3 linked regions of the Notamacropus eugenii genome follow. The protein of the gene in region 2 interacts with the protein of the main gene of each other region in a pairwise test. Links are inferred from orthologs where the notes say so. Each region holds a gene or a part of one and is shown on either strand. Other genes may lie near its edges. The genes, in order: NUP58, PKNOX1 and PBX2.

Region 1 (7,709 bases), about 220 Mb from region 2:
CAATGCTCTAGGCCAGTGTTTCTTAAACTGTGGTCCCATATCATGCGCTTTAAGAAGCACTGAAGGGGTCTTGAGTGGAAAAAATTTAAGAAGCCCTGCTCCAGGTAACTCTCTCAAGGCCGTAAGTTGCAAAGAAAATGTTGACCTACATTGGTACGTATTTCTTCATCTGACAGTTCTTTATACCAGTGAAATCATAGGTCTAGTTGTGGTCTCAATATAGGTGCTAAACCAATAATTTACATTTTGCATTCTAAAGACAATGTAAATAATTCCAGTCTAAACTTGGGTAAAATTCTAGTATTTATTCAACCAAAATCTATTCAGTGAATATCTATGGGCAAATCATTATGGAGAAAACAAAAGGGGATAATTCAAGAACACGTATTATGCACTTGCTCTGCAGAATATAGTAGAAAAGGACACCTAGGCATTCAGAGTTCTATTTGAAGTCAGGAAAACTCATCTTCCCAAGCTGAAATCTGGCCTCATACACTTATTAGCTGTGTGGCCCTGGGAAAGTTACCTAACCTTGTTGGCCTCAGTTTCTTCATTTGTAAAATGAACTAGAGAAGTAAATGGCAAACCACTCCAGTATCTTTGCCAAGAAAACTCCATATAGGGTCACAAAGAGTCAGATCTGACTGAAAACAAGGAGCAACAAAATGTAGAATAGTAATGGCAGTAAATGCTGGAGATACAAGGAAGAAAAAAAATGAATCTATGCCCTCTTAAGATTCTGATCGTGGAGGATAACTCTAAAACAGGTTAGAATGTAATAAAGAGACCAAATGGATACAGCACTAGCCTAAGCATGTGGAAACCTGTTCTGTACTTGCTGGTTATGTGACCTCTTTGGGAGAGTCACTTAACCTCAATGAGCCTGTTTTTTTATGGAGAGGGATGAGAATAGACTAGAAGATCACTAAGCTCCCTTCCTGCTCTAGTATTCTATGAAATCTCTATACATAGTAAAGATCAGAGAGAAAGGAAGCTGGAAATGAAGGAGCTACTTCTAGCTGGTAGATCAGATAAGACCTCATGGCTTCATGGAAGAAGTTGTATTAAGTCTCTGGCCCCAAGGAACTAACTATAATCTCACAGGGCATATTAAGACACCTAAACAAATAAATGTAATATAGTAGATCAACTGGTTTAGACAAGGCCTTACAACATATAAATTGATCCTGAATCATGTCTAAAATGTAATATAAAGCAGAATATAAGTGATATACAAGAAGCATATACAAGGTATGGCATGGGATCTGGTGGTGGGGAAGCAGGAAATCATGGATTGGACAGGGAGTGAAAGATGACTCCAAAGTCTAAGGTTTGAGCTAAGTGTGAATACAGTGGTGACATATTATAAACAACATCAAAAAACAAAGAAGGATCACAAATACCAAATGCTGTAAAATTAACATTATGCCATGCAAAATATGAATGATAAATATTAAACAATTTATTCATGGGAGGCAGCTAGAGTGGAGCAGTGAATAAAGCAGTGAGCCTGGAGTCAGGAACACCTGAGTTCAAATCTAGCCCTGAGGATTCTGTGCAAGTTATTTAGCCTCTATTTGCCCGTAAAATGCAAATGATAATAATAACAGCCCTACCTCCCAAGGTTGTTGTGGGGATCAAATGAAGCAATAATTGTAAGGTCCTTAGTATAGTGACTGGCCCAAAGTAGATGCTGCATAAATGATAACTATTGTCATTATTATAATACCTTTTTATTTTTTGTCTTACACCTAATATAGGGGTAGGGACTGGACCTATGATTTCATTGGTATAGGAAACTCAGACCCTACCCTTCAATTTAAACTCCTGGAGAGCTGCCTAGGGCACTGAGATGTTAAGTGACTTGTCAAAACGCCAGTCTCTGTCAGCAGTAGGTCTTGGGACTCAAGTATTCAAAATTCCAAAGCTTGAAGTTCTCTATACACATCTATCAAATTAGAAAGATCACCGTACAAATAAGAAGTCTAAGCTCCTGGGCCCTGGAAGTCATCGATGAAACCCACTAAGAGAATAGTTTCATTAATATTAAGAATTTCAGAATCTGATATAGAACCAAAGAGTCTGGATTCAAATCCCTATCCAATCTGCTAGTGAAGAGGCTTTTCACCTGGGATCTGAGGACAGATTTCAAAGTGTAAGTGAACTTGGAGAGTGGAAAAAATTCATTCCTGTGTATTTTACTTTACACATGTAAAACCATTCTGAGAAGAAATCGACAGCTTTCCCCAGTCTGCCCAAGGGCACAAAAAAGGCTACGCATCCTGGCCCTAGCCCCTGGAACCACCAAGAACCTGTCTCTGGGGACCACTTTTTGCCCTTTCTCGGTATCCCCGGCGCTGCCCACGATGAAGAAGCGCTCTCTCCGGGCCGGGCACCGGGCTAAGTGTTACCCAAACGCTGGGCTCACAAAGAAAAGCAAACACAAAGAGCCGCCGTTCTAATCCGGCGCTCAGTCCCCTCGCCCCCATCCCTAGGCCTCCACGCCCGCAAGCCCTCGGCAGCCCGCAGAGGTCTCACACTGCGCCGCCAGAGCCCAAGGTGAAGACCGCCGAGGAAGAAGAGCGAAGCTCCCCTGGGTGATGCGGAACCCTGCGGGGACAGTGCGGCTCCTCCGAGGGGGGAGGGGAAGGAGGGGCGGCGCCGGCTCCGCCCTGGGAGGAGGGGCGAGAAAGGAGCCGGACGTCAGGCCGAGGAGGTGGGGAGGCCGGCCCGCGAGACGCTCCCGCGTTCGAGCTGGGCCGGGGCCGAGGGGCGCGCGGCTGCGGCGGGGAGGAGATAGCTTACCTGGAGGTGCCCGTCCCGAAGGAGAACCCTCCTCCTGTGGTCCCGGTGCCCCCCGTGGCGGTACCCACGGAGCCCAGCGTCCCCGTCCCGAAGGAGAAGCCCGTGGACATGGTTGAAGCCGGCCAGCCGCGGCCTGGGCCTCGTGTCTCGTCTCAGCGCCGAAGGGGAACCCGCAGCATCCCCCCTACAGTGGCCGGCCGGGCTAGCGGACGGGCGGGAACTTCGGTCCAAACCAGGGGGCGGGAAAGAGGAGCGAGCGAGCGGCCGCAACCCCTGGGCCCGCGCACGCCGCCGCGCGGGAGCCGGCCGAGCCACCGCGGTGCACCATGGGATGGAAGCCGGGCGACGTCAGCAGCGCGCGTCTTAAAGGGACAGGGGCCGGTCCGGAGCCACCCTTCCGATGAGTGCCCTGTCCTTCGCCTTAATGTGATTGATTTCGTGGGCACATGTGGCATCGGGGCCCCAGGTAGAATGTTGGACCACAGGTTTAGAGACAAGAAGGGACTTTATGTGTCATTGACTCAAACCTCATTTTACGGATGAGGAAGCTGTGACCCAGAGCGGTCCAATCAATCAATCATCGATCAAGATTAAGCGCCCACTGTGCCAGACGTTGTGTTACGGCCAGGGATAGTAAAAGAGGCAAAGTCATAAATTAGTGGGTGTTGCCCACTTCAGTCCCTATTAAAACAAAAAAAGGAGGGGACAAAGTGAGTCAAAATGGCTGTAAGTGAACTTTTGCACAATTACCAAGATTTTGAGGAGCGAGGTAATGGTAATTTAAAAACTCGCTAGGATAGAAAGCCTGGCCTCCGTTATGGATCTGGCCCTTCTGAATCCTCCTTTTGACAGTTCTAAAATGAAAGGTGCTCCATAACCCTTAATCCAAAGCCTAGGAATGGGAAATACCAGAAGGGAGTGGCTAGAATTAAGAAGGGCTGGGGAGGACTTCCAGCAAAAGAGGAGCTTTTAATGGCCAAGGAGGCCATTGGGGGAGGGGAGGAAGGAGAGAGTTCCATGCCTGGGGGACGGCCAGAAAAAAAATTCTCATTGATTAAGCACTTGCTAAGTGCAGGGAATACAAAGAAAGGCAAAACCAATTAAATTCTCTGCTTTATTGGTGCTCACAGTCTAATAGAGGAGACAACCATATACATATATATATATATATATATATATATATATATATATATATATATATATACACACACATATAAATGTATATATGCATGCATACATACACATACATGTATGTGTATGTATGTATATATACACATACATATACGTTATATATACAACTATATATGCAACAGATACATACAAGATAAATTGGAGATAATTAAGAGAGGAAAGCCATTCTGAAGAAAATGGGATTTCAGCCGGGACTAGAAAAAAGCTTATAAGTTAATAGAGGACATCAAGTAGAAGAGCATTACTTGCCTGGAGGACAGCCATTGAAAAGGGAGCTTCTTGCTCCTCAAGTGGCCTTAACATCCATGCAGATAACTCCCTGTTCTAGCCCTAGGCAGTCTCTGGATCTCTAGTCCCACATCACCAACTACCTGTTAGACATTTTGAACTTGGATAGGCATCTTAAATGTAGGCATCTTGTAGGCATCTTAAATTCTAGTGCCAAATAGTAGTCATTCTCTTTTCCCCCAAACCAACCTTTCTTCCAAACTTCACTGTTTCTGTTGAAATGCTTCTCACTCTCCCACATCCCATATATCCATTGAGTTGCTTGATCTTTCCATTTCTACCTTTATAACATTTTTCTCACATCTAACCTTTTCTCTCTACTCTTAATCACCACCTTAGTCTAGGCCCTGATAATGTTTAATATAAAATTTTGGAATAATCTCTTTGTTCTCTCTGAAGCAAACTCAGAGAATGCCTCTTCCTATGTCAGCAAAAGCCAGCCAAAGCTGACTCTGCATTCCTTGGAGACCTTTAACCTATGACATATCTTGAATAATGGGTCTTTCCTTTGTATCTTATTATCTATAGACACATACTATGTTATGGCATATTAATGGTAAAGAAAATATAGACATCTTAGGTCATAATTTCTATTGAACATTGTTTGCCCCTTCCTGTGTCAGTTATCTGGGGTGGGATTTCCTTCCTTGTCACCAAGACATATGTTTACCCAGCTTGGAATCTCAACATTTGATTGACATTACTTTGTTAATTGTCTTGTCTTACTAAATTTATGATTTGTTCAACTAGGAGAGTTCCTTTCTCACGGCAAAATGTATATAAGCCAGAAGATTTCTGCACTGGGTAGCCAGAACATTTCTGGCTCCATAATGCATTATGTAACTGTTTTCTTTAATAGGGAATTGATTAATTAATTAATTAAATCATAAAATGTATGCATTTAGCCTGCTGCCTTTCTTTAACCAAGTTTTCAGGTCAACAGCCCTCATCACTACTCAGCTAAACAATTGCAAAAACTGCCTTATTGCTATCCCTGCTTCAAGTCTTTACCCATCCAGTTCCTCTTTCCCTCAGATGCCACTGATCATCCTTAAGTGCAGAGCTAATGATGTAATTCCCTTACTCAATAAACTTAAGTGGTCCCTATTGTAAGTAGGATAAAATATAAACTCTTCTGTTTGGTTTTTTAAAGTCCTTCACAACCTGACCCCAACCTACCAGTCCACTCTGATTATACATTACTTCCTTTGTTGTACTATCCCATCCAGCCTCAGGGCTATCTCCAGTCATTTTGATTATATCTTGCCACTGGCTAGATGGCTCCAGAGGAGAAAGTGAGACTGGTGACCTTGCACAGCCCTTAAATCCAGTTCATTTGCATGTCCTAGCATCATCTTCCTGATGTCATGGTTCTCTTTGAGAATGAAGGATAAACAGTGACTTGTGAGTAGTCCAAGCTGCTTCACTGGGGATCCAACTGGCCGGTTCCAGTTGGACAATGCAACTCCTTCCTTCTTTCATCCTTTCCCTTGTTAGCAGGATTTTACTGAGTCATTTTTTAATCTGAGAATGATGCAACTGCAGACTAGAGACAAAGTGCAAGTAATCAGGTAGCCATTTAATTAATTAGTTTCATTATGAGGAGTAGATTTGCAAATCAGGAATTCTCCTGATCAGAATTCCACCTTGCTGAAGTGATGACAGAAATTCTATACATAAAACACCAATGGGATGGAAGAGTAGAAGAGTAGAAGGTGGATTACAGTCATTCCCAGGGCCAGAGTAGTTTCCCAGGATAAACCCACAATTTTGGAGTCCTATAAGAGCAACACTGCCCAAGTCTTGGGAGTGTAATGGTAAGGGAATTTGAAAATCTTCCCTGCCCCTTAATAGGCCCATGTGACCTGCTTTGAGCTTTGGCCCAGTCCACAATTTGAGTCTCATAGAGCTGATGGTGGAAGGAGCTTGCTGAATGGGTGGAGCAAGAAGGATACAGCAGGAAGAGAGGAAGGTGGAGCTGAGAGGCAACAACAGTCAGAGCAGAGCAGCTAGCCTAGGTGGGAGAGGGGCATTTTGCCTAAGGGGCCTTGTTTGTGGGGAGGCCTGACCAAGGGAATGCTTGGGGATGGCTGTGCTCTCTATTGGTAATGTGTATAAAGTTCATTGTTACTATGGTGGAATTGGCTTTCTGGTATCTGAATAAATTATCTTTGTTTCATCTTTGAGGAAGAGAGTTTATATTTTGCGAATTTACCCTCAAAATACACCTGCATATGCATATCCTGCTGTAGGTATCTCACCCACGCTACAGGGGGTCATTACTTAGTGGGTCACAGGTTCTACAGGCTTGGTCTGAAGGCAGAAGGATGCCAGTGATTGAGTCTTGTCAAGGTTTGATTTATGAGTTCAAACTGCATTGTGAATGACCCACAAGCTAGAAAAGGTAATTCTGCAAAATCAAATCTATTGGTGTATTCATTACACATATATTGATTATTATAAAAACCAGAATTCCCTCCACACCTTGCTTTCCCTCTACTCTTCCCTAAACCTTTCCCTTCCTTTTTCCCTTCCCTCTGTCCACTTAGGGTTATCATATCCTTATATGCTAGTGCTTTGCCCAAAGTATGTAAATTTTGATGGTTGAAACCTAGCAAGATATCTTGGGATTTAAGGGCTAGAATTCTTGCTTAAGGACAATGCCTTAAACGTAATTCACTCTGGCTCTCATTGATTGTCAAGGAATAGGTCCCAGGCCAAGCCCCACTTGGTTATTGTTTGGACCCTGATTGTCTCAGAGTGAATGTAAATAGTAATTGTTTCTGTTTTGGCCAGAAAACCTCAGGGTCTTCCCCTCCCAAGATAGATTTTTTTTTTTTTGATTACATGAAAGAGGCCATTCTTTGCCTCATTTCTTACCTAGCCTTAATCACTGAATGGGTGTTGCCTTAGTTAAACAGACCTGGGAAAGATCTTAGCTTAAAAAGGTCAAGGTCTCCCACTTCATCCAGGGCCATCTCCAATAGTCCTGATCTATATCTTGTCACTGGACCCAGATGACTCAGGAGGAGATAGTGAGGCTTGTGACTTTGTACAGCCCTCCCTCACTTAAATCCAGTTCACTTGCATCTCATGGTATCACCTCCCTGATGTCATGGTTGTCTTCCAGAAAGAAGGAAAAACAATCATCCAGCCAAAAAAGACCTTCTCTTTGTTTTTCACCAAGCAGCTTATGTGTTGAAGTGGATAGAAGGCTGGACCTGGAGTCAGGACGACTCATGTTCCTGATTTCAAATCTGGCCTCAGACACTTGCTAGCTGTGTGGCTAGCACACCTGGGCAAGTCACACTTAACCCTGTTTGCCTCAGTTTCCTCATCAGTAAAATGAGCCGGAGAAGGAAATGGCAAACCCTTCCAGTATCTTTACAAAGAGTCTGACATGACTGAAAAATGACACAACTACT
Region 2 (8,422 bases):
CAGTTTTGGTTTTTCTTTATTACAGAGTGATGCACTCCCTTTTTTCGAGGTGATAATAGAGAGTGCCAGCTATTATTTTTAAAATAAGCTTTTTTTTTTGAGAGGAAAAGGGGAACAGTCTAGCTCCTTCCCTTTCTGTTTCCTACTAATATGCTCAGAACTACACCCAAGCTTTAAAAACCTCTACTTTTCCTCAGTTTTCTTCCCTTTCACCATCAAACTGAGTCACCCCCTTTCTCAACCTCCAAACCACTTCTTCCCTTCTCTAAACCTAGACATCTGACCCCTACTATATTGAAACTCTACTCTTAAAAGTTACCAATAATCAAGTTAATTGTCCAGAGCCCTTTCTCAATAAATGTTCTAGACCTTTAGAAGCTTTTGATAGGGTGGTGGGTGGGGGAGGATAAATTCGGTTTGGGAGCAGAGAGTTAATACAGGACTGACCTGGAGCTTGAAAAAAAGACTAAGGGCTACATAATCTAGATCTGGGTCTCCTCTTTATAAAAATAATTGAATATATGGGAGCTAATGAGGTCACCAACAGAAAAAATATAAAGAGTCCTAGCATACAGTTTTGGGGGAAACCTATGAAATGCTATGGAGGACAAACATATGAAATTAGAAAACAATAGTGGGGAGGAGAGAGAGGGAGAGTAAAAGAAAGACACAGAGACAGAGAACACACCATCTCAAAAACCTAGAGAGGAGATAGTATCCAAGAGGAGATAATAGTCAACAGTGTCAAACTCTGTAAAGAAGTTGGAGAAGGATAAGAACCAACATAGTGTCATCATATTTTGCAAATTTAGAAGTCACTAGCTGATGCAAAGTACAGCTGCTGCTTCTCAAAAAAGGATGGAAAGAACCAGGAAAACAACATAAACAAAGACAATAGAAACGGAAAGAACAATCGACCAAGCCTGGCTATCAAATAACACCTATGTAAAGACACCTTTCCTATTTTTTTTTTTTTTACATTTTAGCAAAGGAGGGGACCATGAGTGTGGAATACTGCTTATATCCAATCTTTTTGATATGATACCTAGTTTTACAAATTTTTTTCCTTTCTTCTCTTTCATTAAAGTCACAACTCACTAATATTAAGTTGCTGAAAAGATGAGAACCTGCAGTGGTAGAGAGAATCGTAAGTGCAGTCCCCATCCTTACTCTGTAAGGGAGGCCACTGAGAGGGAAAGGATACAGTAAACAAATTTTAAAACAAAAGACATCAATAAAATTATTCACAAAATTAAAAGATTGTGACTTTTAAGTTTCTGTTGAATGGACAAGTTAGGGAACGAGATACTAACAAACTGAGACGTGAGAAGACTTCAAGTGAAGGCAGCGCGTAAGTGAGTTCGGATTTTTCAAGAAGTTAAAAAGGATTAACAGTTTGCAGGGTTGATATAGTCCAGAGAGGAGTTAAAGATAAGAGTTGAAGCTAGCAGGTTTGTAATGAGTAGAAAAGAGATCAATAGGTAAGGTGAGTACTAGAGAGCTAAAGGATGACAATGGGACCAGATTCAGCTGAAGAAGAAAAGGATGCTGATTCTGAGGGCAAATGTGGAGGGTCTGGCCTTGGAAAGGTTGGAAAAGACAAATGTCCAAAGAGTGCTAAACTTGGCGTCAGGAAGACTCAAGGTTTAAAAAATCCTATCTGCCATATTTATTAGCACTAAGGGGCAACTCAAGTCACTTATACCTCTCTGAGTTCAGTTTTCTGACCTGTAAAAAGGGGATACAAATACCCGTAAGTGCCTAGTTCAGAGTTGTTATAAGGTCTAAGAACCAAACAAAGTACTTCACAAACTTTACAAAATGTATGCGAATGTCAGCTATTATTATTGAATGGCAGGTTCTGAAATGTTTAACTGAGTCAGCCTTATAAGGATGACGAAAATTGCCAAATTCTATTTGGAATCATAACTAAAGATCTATTAACCTTCCTCTCAGGCCTTCTATGCTTCCATTGACTAGTGAGTGACATTCCCTGGATTCCAAGATCTAAGCCTTAAAGGGGGGTCTATTGTACATTTTAACTTGTGTAAGACACGAGGTACAGATCTTTAAAAAATTATTCTTTGTTTTTAATGATCTGACTCGGTTAAAAAAACAGTATTTGGGAAATAGGGAGAAAATATCATGAAGCAAGTGTTCATGTTTATGGTCGATTCTTCAAGGGCTTGGTATATTTTCATTATTGTAGTGATTAACGGCATTCTGGTCTCCAGCTTCCCATCCAGTTCCAAGTTTTAGAGATGGGAAGAAACTGCACATCCCACGACAGCGCACGTGGAAGTCAGTGGCTTAAGCTCAATGGGGGGGAAGGCCACAGAAAAGCCAAACGAAATTGAACTCTGTCCCACGGCCAGGATCGGAAAGCCTGCTGCTTGCCAGATACGACTCTCGCTTGCAACCACTACCACAGCTGAAGGGGGGTGGGGTGGGGAAGTCCACCCCAAACAGGCGCACCCAGCCAGGGAGGTGCTTCCCACCCCCTACTCCTTCTTCCAGGGATTTCCCTGCCCCCATCCTGAGAGCAGGAGGAGCCGCCATCTTCAACTCTTCCTTCCACCATTATACAACCTCTCTTCTCCCCGCTGCCCTCGCCGTCCTCCAGCCTCCTTCTCCCCCGCGCCCCCAAAACCCCAAAGCCGAAAAAGCTGCACCAGTCTGGGTCGGTGGAAGTAGCGGGGATGGAGCAAAGCGCCCCACCGGTCCCTTTAAACGGCTCTGCTCCCCAACACCTTCAAGAAGACTCTCCCCCCCACCCCGGGCCCGGGCACCCCTCAGCTGAGCCGCCGAAGGCCGCGCGACTGCAGGCGGCGACCAGCGGCCGCCCGCTTCCACCCCGGCTGCCTCGTCCCCTCCTCCGCCCTCCCCGGCTCCCCCCCGCCGAGCTCCACACCCCGCGGCGCGGCCCAGCGCGCCTCCCCATGCCCCCTCCCCTGCCGGCCGCCTCCCCCTTGTCCCCGCCCCGTGCAGGAGCGCGCGCAGTGCTCCACCAGGGACGGTTTAGGAGCGCGCGCCTCGCAGCGGGGCCCAGCGCGGCGGCTCCTTCCAGAAATTTCCTCCTTCCTAGTCTCACGTATGGACACCAACACCGTGGAAACCCTTTCCAGACTGCAGGGTGGGCCGCCTCCCTCGGCCTCCTCTTCCCCCCGCCTTTCCGGTCCCTCCTGCATTCAAACGCGGCCCCCTCCCCTGCCCCGTCCCTGCTCCATGCCCTTGGGCGCGGCTTAGTGGCATCTCTTCTCCCCACGAACGGCCTGGGCGGCAGCAGTGGGGCGGCGGCGGGGAGGCCGGTGTGATTGATAGGGACGGCGGAGAGCGGCGGCGGCGGCGGCGGCGGCGGCGGAGCGGTTGAGTGACAGCTTACCTGGGTGCCAATCTTCATCACACTGACAAGCGGCTGCAGCAATCGGGACCCGCAGTGCCGCACCCGCGTCCAACCGTCACGCCGACGCCGGGCCACGCGACACAGCCTCATTCAATGGAAGGAGGGCTACGCCGACGCTCACCTTATCAATATTCAAAGCAGAGGCGGGGCCCTCGCAGGGGAAGCTCCTCCCACCCCGTGAGTCTGCGCTCAGGGGGTGGGGACTCTGGGAGAAGGGGCGGGCTGGGAGGGAGTTCGGAACGCAGCCTTTCCTCTCTGGGCCCTCCTGCCCCTCCCCCCTCCGCCTCCATGCTTAAGAGGAACAGGCCACACCCCTAGCTTTTTTTTGCTGCGCAGGGAGGGAGGAGCCTTTGGCCACGCCCACTCTCCCTCTGGCCAAAGTTCGGGAGGTTTTGAAAATGTGTTTGTTGGTTAGGTACTGGAAGTCCTCCCCCAGCCCTTTTTTATCCGACCACCACTGTGCCCTTCCTTCTCTAATCGTAATCTCTTGACTCGCGTGCATTTGTGCAAAACTGTAGAGGGAAGATGATCCTTGGGTGGATGAAGGCTTCCTCCAGGTTGGAGGAGGGGACTAGGGAGGAGGGACTGCTACCAAGACCCTGCTTCCCCCCCACCCAACGCAGAATTTCACCGTCTAGAAAGAATTGATTAGTTTTCTTCTATCCCATTACCAGCCCAAGGTGTAATGCATACTAACCTAGTAACGTTTTACAAATTATTGCAGATTCCTTAAAAATTAAAGGCTCGAATTGACAGCAGAGTGATCGCTCGGGGGATTTTGCACAACACCACAAAAATCGAAAGGAACTTTGCAAACCTTCCTTTTCCGACTTTGGGCTACATTTCTTTTTCAGAGATTGAGAATTGAAAGGGACCTCGATGACCCTCTTGTCCGGTCTGTACCTGAGAAAAGAATCTCATTTATAGGACCCATGGTTCAGTCATTGCTTAAAGACCTCCCTTTGAGGAAGAGCAGCACCCCATGGGAATGCAACCTGTTCCACTTTTGAATGACACTAAATTGTTAGGAAAGGTTTCCTTACCGAAGCCTCAATTTTCCTCTTTACAATTTCTGCCCAGTATTCCTATATCTATCTAGTGGAATCAAGAAAAATAAATCTATTACGTTTTACAGGCTCAAATACTTGAAAACAGCTATCAAGCCACTTTAAGTCTTCTCATTATGCTAAGCCTTTCTCAGTTCTTTCAGTAAATTCTCATATGTTTTTAACTCAAGGTCATTCACCATCCAGCTCATAAATGTGTTAGCTAAATGGTGGGACCTAGAAACACTCTGTGTGTGGTTTGAGCAAAGTAAAGTATAATTGGACTATCTTCATCTTTAGATTTTTTTTTTTTTTGCTTCCATGTCACACTGTAAATTCATTTTGGATTTATAATGAAAGAAACTAGCAAATATTAAGCATAGATGTTTTACTGTTCTCACAATACCCCTAGAAGGTAAGTGCTAATATTATTACCATTTTACATTTGAGGAAACTAAGGCTAACAGAGATTAAGTGACTTGCTCCGAGTCACACAGCTAGTGTGTGTCTAAGAATTTAAACTCAGATCTTCCTGATTTCAGGACAAGCACTCAATCCACTGTGCCATCTAGCTGTCTAATGCATGGAAACTCTTAATCTCTATGCTTGTAATTGTGAAGTTGGTTTTCTTGAAAGAAAAGGTAATATTTTATGTTAACTCAGTTGCTCAAATGGATGTATGATCTCATTAATTTGGAAATTCTCTTCAGGGGTGCAGATTACACAAATGCTTGCCCATCCTGTTCAGTACTTATCTATGTCCTTCCATAAATTCACCAAAAGGGGGAAGCTATCTTTACTTTGGCTTGATGGTACTACAAAGATTACCTGCGGAGCCCTCTTATTCCACCAAGAATGGCTTGATCTCACTTTGTGACTATCTTTCCCTAGCACACATTTCTTTGATGACAATTTTTATTATTGCTCTTTGAAGTTCTTCATTTGTTGCTATGTGTTTACATCTACCATGTGTCTCTTCATTGCCTTTTGTGATATTTATTTTCAACTGTAATATAAAGTGCTTTGCAAGCCTTAAAAAGCTATATAAATAAAATGTTATTATTCAGGAACTGTTTATCCAATATCTCATTTCCATGCAGCGACACTAATAGAATGTTAGTATTAAAAAGAAGAAACTTTATTTTTAGGAGAAGTTTGGACCATTAAAGGTGCTTTGCAATTTTTCAAAGACTATACAGACTGCTCTCCTCTTCCTGTTCAATTCTTAGCCTATGTAATTAATTGTCCATGAAAACAATGTTTCAGATATATATGATGATAGACAAACTTTGTAGTTTGTTCATAAAAACGTCATAACTTAGGCAATAGACATTCTTTATCCATTTGGATCTTTTCTTTGTGGATTTTCAGACTGAGAGGTTATTTATCTCTATTAGCAACCTCTTCGGTATTTCTAAACTACCAGTAAACAACAAACCTGAAGGACATCACCATTTATGGGTAACAGATCTTCAACTTGAACTCTATACTGGATCTACTCCAACACAATGACCACTGCTTTTGTTGGACATATATTTTCTTTATATATTGATATTATTTTTTTAAAAAATTTTCACTCGATGAAAATTCATCTCTCTCCCTTCCACCTCCCCACCTCATGAAAAAAGAAAGAAAAACCCTTATAATAAATATTCATACTCGAGCAAAACAAATTCATGCATTGGTCATGTTCAAAAGATTTATCTTACTTTACACTCTGGGTACGTCACCTCTGCGTCAGGAGGTAGATAGCACATTTCACTGTTGAGTCCTCTGGAATAGTGGTTGGGCATTGCATTGAGTACAGTTCTTAGATCTTGCAATGCTTATCTTTACAATGTTGTTATTGCATAAATTATTCTCCTGATTCTCCTCAGTTCGCACAAATCTTCCCAAGTTTTTCTGAAAACTTCCTTTTTAACATTTCTTAAAACACAGTAGTATTCCATTACATTCACATATTATAATTTGATCAGCCATTCTCCAATTAATGGATGCCCCCTTAGTTTCTGGTTCTGTGCCATTACAAAAAGAGCTGCTATTTTTGTGCATATAGGTCATTTTCCACTTTCTTTGAACTCTTTGGGGCATAGGCCAACTTGTGTTATAGAAGGGTCATACAACAGGCTGGTAACTTTCTGGGCAAATTGCCTTCTGGAATAGCTGCACAAGTGTTGTTATCATTATTTTCGTTGTTGATTATTCTTCATTAAGAGGACTAATTCAAGATATGCCCCAGGAAATATATTAATGCAATTAATTATCATATGAAGCAAATCCTGCTAAAACATTTTTACATTCATTAGTTTTGCATTGAAGGTGATTTTTGATACTTTTACAGTTTGAACTGAGGAAAAGTAAGATGAATTAAATTTTGTGACATTTGCATAGTTTTTTTTCTAGAAAACATTAAACAAGTGCATAAAGATTGACAAAAATCAAATAATCTGATCCTTTTATTTGTACAAGTATATCTATTTTCCAACAACCCCTCTAATATTCACCATTTTCCTCTTTTATCATTTTTGCCAGTCTGATAGGTGAATCAAAACATCAAAGTTGCTTCAGTTTGCATTTTTCTATTAATGATTTTTTATATTTTTTATATTTTATTGATAGGATGGATTTGTTCCTTTGAAAATGGCCAGGTCATACTTTGACCTTTTATCTATTGGGAAATGGCTCTTAGTCTTATAAATTTGAATCAGTTCTTTATGTATCTCGTATATAAGACTTTTATTTGTTAAAGATTTTTTTCCTAATTGCTTGCTTCCCTTCTAGATTTGTTAAAAAATAAACTTTTAAATGTTATATACTCAAAATTATCCATTGTATCTTCTGTGACAACTTATTTAGTCACAAACTTTCCCCCTGCACATGAATCTAAAAAGTAATTTCTTCCTTGTTCCTCTGATTTGTTTATATTGTAACTTTTTATCTAGGTCATGTATCCATTTGGATCCCAACTTGTTATATAGTATAAGTGGTTGGTCTAAACCTAATAAGTGCCAGAATGCTATCCCATTTTCCCAGTAGTTTTTATCAAATAGTGAGTCTTTCCCCTAGTAACTAGAGACTTTGTATTTACCAAACACTGGAGTCAGGAATAACTGAGTTCAAATCCAGGCTCAGATACTTACCAGCTATTTGACTTTGGACAAGTCAATTAACCTCTACTTACCCCAGCTTCCCCATCTGTAAAATGAAGATTATAATAACATCTATCACCTATGGTTGTGAGGATCATATGAGATAATAATTACACAGCACTTAGCACAGTGCCTGGCACATAGTTGCTCCTCCTTCATTTTCAAAGAGGACCAAAAACATAATGGCCATGTCTTGACTTGTGCATGAATTGGACTTAAGTGTGGAAGAGTTCAGCTTTATTCTCTTTTCCTGAGTCATTGAAGTCCAATGGCAAGGCAAAGGTCAGGAAGACTAACGATGGCCCAGGATGCAGTGAATGACTTTGGTGTTTGTGATATCTGACCAAGTTCTGTGTTCCCCACAGTGCCTACTTTAGCTGCCTTCATGGTTGCTGGAACAAATTGTTCCCTTCTACCCATTCTTCCAGGAAGAAGTCTTCATATGCTTGGAGCAGACATCCCTCTAACTCACCGCCAGGTCTGACATTTGTTGGTTACCCTCAACCTGCTTTAGCTCATTTGCCAAAATGGTTTTATTCGGTGTAACTGGTTAGCAAGCTACAGGTTCTTAGAGCCACAAGTAAGAGTTGGGTGAAAAAGGTGGACACCAAAGGTAGAGGAGCAGCTCTGAATAGGGCTCAGTAATCTCTCACCCCAATGGTGCTAGTTCTCCCCTGGACACATAGTAGGTGCTATTTAAAAGTCAGCTATAATAATTATTATTTTGCCCAAGTTGTATTTTTTATGATGTTCTGGAGTCATTCTTTTGTCTCTGTTTTGCGTCTTAAATTTCCTTGCCACCAAAATATCTCTTTATAGTGCAA
Region 3 (7,778 bases), on a different chromosome or scaffold from region 2:
TTCTACCCAGGATCCCCCACAGAACCATTTCCCTAGGAAGTTTACTTCCATATGCAAGGAACTGGCAAAAAACATTGTCAGTACAGAAAGGGAAGATTTCATCTTCTCCTTCCCTCCAAATGGACCCTTCCCATGGACCTTCTCTGTTTAGAAGCGAAGGCAAGGGGCAAGTTCTCTAAGATGGCTGTGATATGTTCCAAACCATCCCATTTTGGTCACCTGCACCCAGATAGGGTCCCTTTCTGCTTTAACTGAGATCAGACAGGAGAAGAAAGCAAACAAATTCAGGAGTGCAAACCAAAGGAATGATGAGAGGTCCAACCTGCAGAAGAGGGAGGTGTAGGGGAACTGGCACGGCTATGCCCCCCTTGAGTAACAGACACGGCAGTTTTCACTGCGTAGATATTTGCTTCTTCCTGGAACTTGCCAATATTTTTCTTATATCTGATCCGTTTGTTGCCGAACCAGTTGGAGACCTTTGGAGTGCAAGGGAGAGGAGAGGGCTAAGAGGGAGAATAGCATTTTCTGAAGACCCCCCCCACCCCCACTTGACTGCCCTGCTTTCCTCCATCCCTCCAAGAACTGACAACCTTCCTCTCAGTTCTTCTTATTCTTCTCCTCTATTCTTCTCCCTCTCTCCTTGGGATACAGAAGCCTTTCATGCCACAGTACCTGACACCATTACCTGGGAGACAGTGATCCCACATTTCTTAGCGAGCTCCTCCTTGGCCTCTTCACTGGGATAAGGGTTACTCAGGTGGGAGTAGAAATATTCGTTTAAGACCTCAGTGGCCTGTTTGCTGAAGTTACGGCGTTTTCTTCTGCAGGGAAATGGAGAGGGTTTGTGAGAATGCTGGAGCCCTAAGAGATGGAATTGTGGTGGTGGGGAGGGGGACAGTTGGTGGTGGTCTATAAGGGGGAGAGGGCTAGTAAAAGAGGCATGGGCTAGGATCCTAGATTTCAAAATCCCCACCTGGCATCCAGGAAACGTGAGCGAAGGATCATGACAGCTTCACATGTGCTCTGCTTGAGCTGCATCTGAATGGCACTGAACTTTCGGTGGATGATACCAACCATACGCTCCATCTCCTTGGGAGCCACGGGCCGTGTGCGGCTCTGTTCTCGAAGCAGGTTCATCACATGAGTAGTGAACTCATTACACGCCTAGGTGGATAACCAGGGGCATCAGATTAGTATGTGGAGTCCCATCCATAGCCTCCCAATGCCCCTCTCCTTGACCTGGGCCCAAAAGGCTTCTCTGTACCTGTTCATACTTCTCCAGCTCAGAATGGTAGATATGGCGGATCTGGGCCAGTTTACTTCGATAGTCAGAGTGCTCAATGGAGTTGTCAGGAGATACTCCACCACCAGAGGCTGCCGCTGCTGCTGCAGCTGCTGCAGACCCTCCTCCCTTCTCTGGTCCTGCCACCCCTTCTGCCAGAAGCATGTTGTCCAAACGCATCAGTTGGGGGTCCACAGGCTCCTCCTCCTGTGAGCTTCGGATACTGAGGCCTGCCATGCAGGATGAAGCATTGGGGCTTCAGGGTGTAGGTTCAAATCCCACTTCCCACATTTACTATCTGTGTAACTTTAAGCAATTTTATTTAACCTTCCTGGGCCTTAGTTACCTCATCTGTAAAATGAGGGGGTTGGGAACTCTTTTTAGCTATAGGTCTATGGTATCTAACTACTCAGCAGGCTCTTTTTTTTTTTCCTTGGGGAACTCTGCATAACTACCTTCCCACTTGTTGGGGACCCAGACATCCCCCCTGTTTCCCCTACCTCTATTGTGAGATGGATTTCATTTCCAGGAAAGGAGTGCGAAAGGGGAGCATACATACCAGTCTTCTCTTTGATCTCACATAGGACACTAAAAAGAGCAGGCTTCATTCGGTGGCAATTCAGGGCATGTTTCCTGGGGGAGGAGGGGAAAAAAGAGGGATGGAAGATAGAAGAGTCAGTTCAAGAGCTTTGTGGGTGTTAGAGAAGAGACTGAATAATGTGAGGGCCAAGAATAGAGAGAGAACTCCAGGGAGAAATAAGAAAGGTAGAAAGAAGTTGGATGGGGGCAAAGGAATTGAGAGACCAGAGGGCCAGAGCAGGGGACCAAGTCTGCCAGGGATGCGTGTGTGTGTGTGTGTGTGTGTGTGATATGTGTCATGGGAGGACTGAAAAAAATGTCTCCACAGATTGAAAACTGTGTTCTGGAACATGGGGGAATGAGTTTCAAAGGGGTATGGAAAAATATATTTGGGGGCCAGGGCACGGAATGAGGTGAGGAGTTTGTGGGGTCACTAGGAGGATATTACAGGGGGACTGTGGGGAAGGGATAGTTGTAGGGAGCTAACAGTAGAGGAGCAAGGGAAGCTCAAGTGGGAAAGTTTGGGGATTCTTTCTGCATCTAGATAAAATGATAGGGTCGGGGTGACCAGGAGATTGTGACCAAGTGATCTGGGGGTGGTTGCGGGTAGGGGTACTAGAAGCTGTGAAGAGAAAAATCCCAGACTGGGTACTAAAAGGAGACCTTGAAGGATTGGTTATTTCAAGGGGTTTAGGGGTTACTGAGAGGTCAGGAGTGGGACTGAGCACTTAGGGAGTTCACAAGCACCGAAAGAGATTGTGGAGGGCAAGTCTAAGGAGGTGAAGAGTTCCTTAGGGTAAGGGGGTGGGGAGGAGGTAAAGTAATTAGGGGGACTTAGAAAGGACCAAAAGACAGTGAGAGGACTGTAGGGGGTCAGGGATATGGGGGAGGGTCCCAAAAGCCCATCTGTGTGAAGAGGTCTCAGATTTGGAGAAGGGTTTGGGGGGGACTCACTTGGCCTGGGCCTCATCCAGGCTTTGGTCGGTGATGGTCATGATCTGCTGCAGGATGTCCCCGATGTCCTGCTTTCCCCGTCCTCCTGGGACCCCCCCAGCCCCGCCTCCGGGTTCTCCACCACCGGGAGGTTCCCCAGGTCCCCCTGGCTCCCCACCTACTAGTCCCAGGCCTCCCCGGCCCCCGCCTGGAGGGGGTGGCCCTAGTAGCCTTTCGTCCATGGCTGGGGGGGGCCCCCCTCCCCCCGGAGCCCCCTCCCTTATCAGCCCCTCCTCTCTCCCGGGTTCCCCCCTTTTCTTGAAAAATTGCTTGGGCCGATGCTCCTACTGCCACCACCCCTTCCTGTCTCCCCCTCTCCTGGCTTCCTGGGGGGTCCCTGCCTTGGGGGGAGCTCTGGGGTATGGGCTGGGCCCCCCCAGAGGAGACCCCGGCCCCCGGCGGCGGAGAAAATGGAGCCGGAGAGAGAGGAGGCCCAGGCGGGGGTGTGTGTGAGAGAGAGGGAGGGAGGAGGGGGGAGGCTGGGGGAGGGGAGACTAGGAGGAAGAGGAGGAGAGAGGAGAGGAGGAACAGGGAGGAGTTGTGGGCGGAGAGATAGACCAAAGAACGGAGACCAAAGAGGAGGAGGGGGGGAAGAGAAGGAGAAGGAGGAGAAGGAGATGAGGGGAGAGGGAGATGGTGTGAGGAGAAGGTTCTTTAGGGAGAAGGATGGAAAGGAGAAAACTGTGGGTCTGGGGCTTATCTTGGTCTTCAGTGGGGAAGGAAATCAGGATCCGGAGGGGGAGGGGTAGCAGTTGAATCCTGAGAAGGGCAGGGGCTAGAATGCCAGATGCCTGGGTTCTTGGACAGCTCCGTTCATATTTCTTGTCCTAAAGACTCCCCTCCCTGTTCTACTTAATTAAGACCAGGAGAGTGGGAGCCGGGCATGGAGGGGAGGGGGTGGGCATGTAATTAGGGAGGTCTCCAGCCGATGCTTAATGAGCCAGTAATTAACCAGCCTGGGAGGTGAGCTGGCCGGCAGCCAGACAAAGGAGAGCTCCCCAGCCCTTGCCTCAGGCCTTTCCCCTTTGCTACTCTCCCCAATGATCCCACCCCCCCCTCTCACTTAGTCACCAGTCTTCAGTTGAGAAGGAAATTAAATTTATTCACAAAATTGAAACATCAAACATCTGGGAAGATAGGATGGAGAAGGGGTGTGATATCTCTGATCACTCGGGCTTTGGATCTCCCCCTTCATCCCATCCTCTCAAAAGATGAGAAAGATGGTAGAGTTCCCAAACCCCTCCCCTCACTGAAGGGAAAGGAGGGTGCTGGGAAGGGGGAAAGAGGCCACAGTTGTTTATCTAGGGCAGCACTCTATCCCCTCAAAGGTCTTGGCCTCTCTGAAGGCAGGGAGGGAGTGTAGATGGAAATTGATCCCCCTCAGGGGGCATTGAAGTCTTCAGCTTGGGTACAGACCTGGGGTAAGGTGTAGAGGTGCTGTCCCATTTTCACTTCCCCTGGGAATTTCTTAGGAGGGCAGTGAAACCTTTGGGATACTGACATTTTCTGGCAGTACGTCTGGTCGGATCCAGATAGTCTCAGTCATTCCTTAAGACTGAATTTTGTTCTGACCACAGCACTTCAGATCCAAGTGGGACGGAAGTGGGTAGGTGTCATTCAGGGAAAGTTTAAATTACAAAGATTTCCCCTTTTCACCCCCTTCCCCCTCCACAATGTCCTTGTTCTTCTTTGTCCGTCCTATCCCCAATCTTGATTCTCCTAGAGAAATTCCAGGTGTCCTGGCCTCAGTGGGGAAAGTTTAGGGGTCTCAGCATCAGTACACCCACACATAAGAATGGAGGTGGGGAGTTGATTCTGAGGTGTTCACTGCCTTCTGCAGTCCCTAGTGTCCTTTGGAGACAGGTCTTCGCTGAGACAATTCTTAGGCAGTGTTCTCAGTCCCTTACTCCACCACCCCCAACTTCAGGAGGGGAGGGGAGAGCTCAGTAGGTATGTGTAGGAGGTCTGGACCTTTGCTCCTCCATTCGACCACTTCCCTGCACCCTCAACAGCAGCTCCAGGAGCTCTTGCCCTCCTGGTGGAAGGGGCGGGTCTGACCGCTGAGCTTCAATGCGCTGGCACTGGGGAGAAGGAGGGGCAGAGGTAAGGTGAGCAGGGGAGGGGAAATTGAATGCCTAAGATCCTGAGGGAATGATGTCCTGGGGTTGGGGGGTTGGGTGATTGTGTAGGGGAGCATCTAGGAACTGGTTGGGGCTAGATACCTGATTTTCTCTCTGAAGGAAACAAAAGTTGGGATAAGGACAGATGGGTAGAATGGGTGGGGGTGTTACAGATTCCTGGGTCTGTAAGAGGAATGGGTGCTGTATGAAAGGGAACCTGGGGACTGAGGGGCAGGATGGAACTGGATACCTAAGGGAATTGAGGAAGGCTCTGGTCTCACCTGGTGACTGAGGATGGTGCTGTAGAGCTGGTCTCTGTCCTCTGTAACCTGGACTTGGGCAGATGTGGCTAGGGAGCCAGGGGGAGTATGGAAGGTGGCTCTCTGTCCTTCCAGCCTTTTGGACTGAGCTTCTGCTACTAAGTCTAGGAAGAGTTCTGTCTGCAAGGAGAGCATGGAGGCCGAGCGGGGTCCTAGGGCTGGGGGAATATGTGTAGGGGTGATGGTCAGAGGTTAAGGAGATAGGGACATGAGAAGCAGTAAGAAATATGGTGGGGGAGGATTGAATATTGGAGGGCTGTAAAAGGCACACTCTTTATAGGTGGGAAGTGGGGTGATGGGGAGCCTGCCAGTTAGAAATGAGGCAGGGGTTAGAATTGAGTCTGAGATTAGTACTAAGGCCAGAAATGAGGTCAGGGGTCATGATTAAAGCAGCACAGAGAAGTAATAGTTGAGTTACCTGTGTTTTGGTCCCTGGAATGGGGAGGGGTTGGGGGTGCCGATCTCCAAGGTCTGATAGTATTCAGGGGGGGCCAGCCTTGATCATCTGGGGGAAAGCTCTGAGAATGATAGATAGGGTCACAGATAGACTAATCCCGAGGCAAGACAAAGTGCCTGGCTTGGAACTCCAACCCATTCTGTTTGTCTGTCTGTATACTCTGTATTTCTAAGAGTCTTAATTTGTTCTCCTGTACCTATTTTCCTCTTTATACCTTCCTCCCAACTTTCCCCTACTCACCTGCTCAATCTCATCTTCCTCTTCTTCCTGAAGTCTCTCTGTCTCCATCCCCTTTAACAGGGGAGGTGGGAAGGGGGTTGGAGGCAGTAGTGATGGTTGTAGGCTTGGACACCTGAGCCCTTGAAGGTAGCAAGAGATGGAATAGGGTTGGGGGGGGAGAGCTTGAGGGCCAGATGCCTGGGTTCTAAGAAGGAAGCTGGGTTCTGGGTTATCGCCCCCCCCCCCATCCTAAGCCCCACCCATCGCTCTTGGTGACGCTCCCCCCCAACTTCCTCCTGTTCCCCTTTTCCACCCTCTACTACTCTCAGTCTCTTATCCCCAAGGGAGTGTGAGGGATACAATAAAATCTGCTTTTGTCAGTTTGAGAGTGCTGGGGAAATGAATGTTGATGGAGAGAAATAGCTATTGGGGAGACTCTATCAGTCTTCAGCACTGCTCCCTCTTTCTCTTTACACCTCCCCCCAAAACAGGTCTGTTCTTCCTAGCTGACTCTGTCAACACAGGAACTAGCTGTAGAGGAAGTGGTTTTACTCCTCCCCCCCTTCAGTCCTTCCCCTCCCTTAGGGAATAGCCTTGACCTTATAGAAGATTCTTTCTCTGTAAAACCCCCCACCCCCACTCCCCCTGCCCATATCCACCTAGGGGCTAGGGGAGGTTCTTTCCTGCTGGGAGGCTGGAGGATCTTAATGGTGATACTTCACATTTATCTATCATTTTCTTTCATTAAAAAACAAAAACAAATCTTGATGTAGGGAGTGCCAATATTATATTGTGTTGTATTTGTCCTTCATTCTCAAAGAAGACCACGACATCAAGATGAAGATATGACTTGCAGTTGACTTTGATTTGGGTGAGGGAGGGCTGTGCAAGGTCACCAGCCTCACTTACTCCTCCAGAGCCTTCTGGGGCTAGTGGCCTGATATTTAGCAGGAAGACTGGAGATAGCCCAGGATGCAATGGAAGACCCAGGCCCTTTCAGGCTAAGGTCTTAGCACAATCTTACTTTGAGTGAGATACACCTACTCAATGAATAGGCTTCTCTAAGTTACTCAAGAGATGGCCCCTTTAATAAAAAAAAAAAAGTCAAACTGGGAGAGGAAGACCCTCAGGGTTCCTGGGTAAAAGAGAAACAGTTACCATTTAGTTATTGCATCCACTCTGTGCTAGGTGGGTGGGGACTTGTCTAGTCTATGAGCTCCAGAATGAATTAGGTTAAAGGCTTGATCTTTGAGCAAGAAATGTAGCCAGTAAACCCAAAGGAAAAAAGGCAGCTTTTGGCCATGGAGCTTACCTTACCCTGTGCAGAACAGGAGGGGAGGGCAGGGAAGAGAAGGGAAGGTGCTACTCATTCACGGTTTATACCCATTTTACAGATGAGGAAACTGAAGTTCAGAGAGACCAAATGACTTAACAGAAATTCTTCTGTCTTGGAATTTCCTGCCCTCTCCTGGATGCCTCCACATTGAATGAAGAATTCCAATTTGAGAAGCTTCTACATCAGTTAATTAAACTACAAGTATTTACAACTTTGGTAGCACAAAACAACTTTGGAGCCTCTCCCAACAAGTTTCATCTTGAAACAAAATCCTGTCTTTTTAATACCAATTTTCCAGAAGTGTTATATGGTTGTGAATCATGTGACATGATGGTTTCCAGAGAATTGAAAAATAAGTTTCACTCAGAGGGCAATGGAGAAGTACATGGTGGGTGGAGCCCATTACAAATGAAGGACTACAGTAAAAATGTTATCAAAGAAATGTATGAGCAGGAAAAAAAAGCCTGGTTTA

What was found.
Region 1: the proteins of PKNOX1 (region 2) and NUP58 interact in binary tests that used the Homo sapiens proteins (3 or more experiments, as listed by UniProt). The link is inferred for Notamacropus eugenii from reciprocal best matches to the Homo sapiens genes PKNOX1 and NUP58.
Region 3: the proteins of PKNOX1 (region 2) and PBX2 interact in binary tests that used the Homo sapiens proteins (3 or more experiments, as listed by UniProt). The link is inferred for Notamacropus eugenii from reciprocal best matches to the Homo sapiens genes PKNOX1 and PBX2.

What each region holds. Positions count from the first base shown.
Region 1 is NC_092876.1:192,733,331-192,741,039, reverse strand, and holds the start of NUP58 (nucleoporin p58/p45), read right to left. Parts: upstream 3,156-7,709; 5' UTR 2,916-3,155; coding exon 2,806-2,915; intron 1-2,805. UniProt on the Homo sapiens protein: Component of the nuclear pore complex, a complex required for the trafficking across the nuclear membrane.
Region 2 is NC_092876.1:415,901,917-415,910,338, forward strand, and holds the start of PKNOX1 (homeobox protein PKNOX1), read right to left. Parts: upstream 3,485-8,422; 5' UTR 3,383-3,484; intron 1-3,382. UniProt on the Homo sapiens protein: Activates transcription in the presence of PBX1A and HOXA1.
Region 3 is NC_092873.1:85,935,821-85,943,598, forward strand, and holds the start of PBX2 (pre-B-cell leukemia transcription factor 2), read right to left. Parts: upstream 3,337-7,778; 5' UTR 3,037-3,336; coding exon 2,816-3,036; intron 1,916-2,815; coding exon 1,842-1,915; intron 1,513-1,841; coding exon 1,265-1,512; intron 1,165-1,264; coding exon 974-1,164; intron 822-973; coding exon 686-821; intron 477-685; coding exon 323-476; intron 1-322. Other genes in the region: GPSM3 (G-protein-signaling modulator 3), read right to left, coding at 4,798-4,935, 5,256-5,452, 5,713-5,812, 5,992-6,039. UniProt on the Homo sapiens protein: Transcriptional activator that binds the sequence 5'-ATCAATCAA-3'. Activates transcription of PF4 in complex with MEIS1.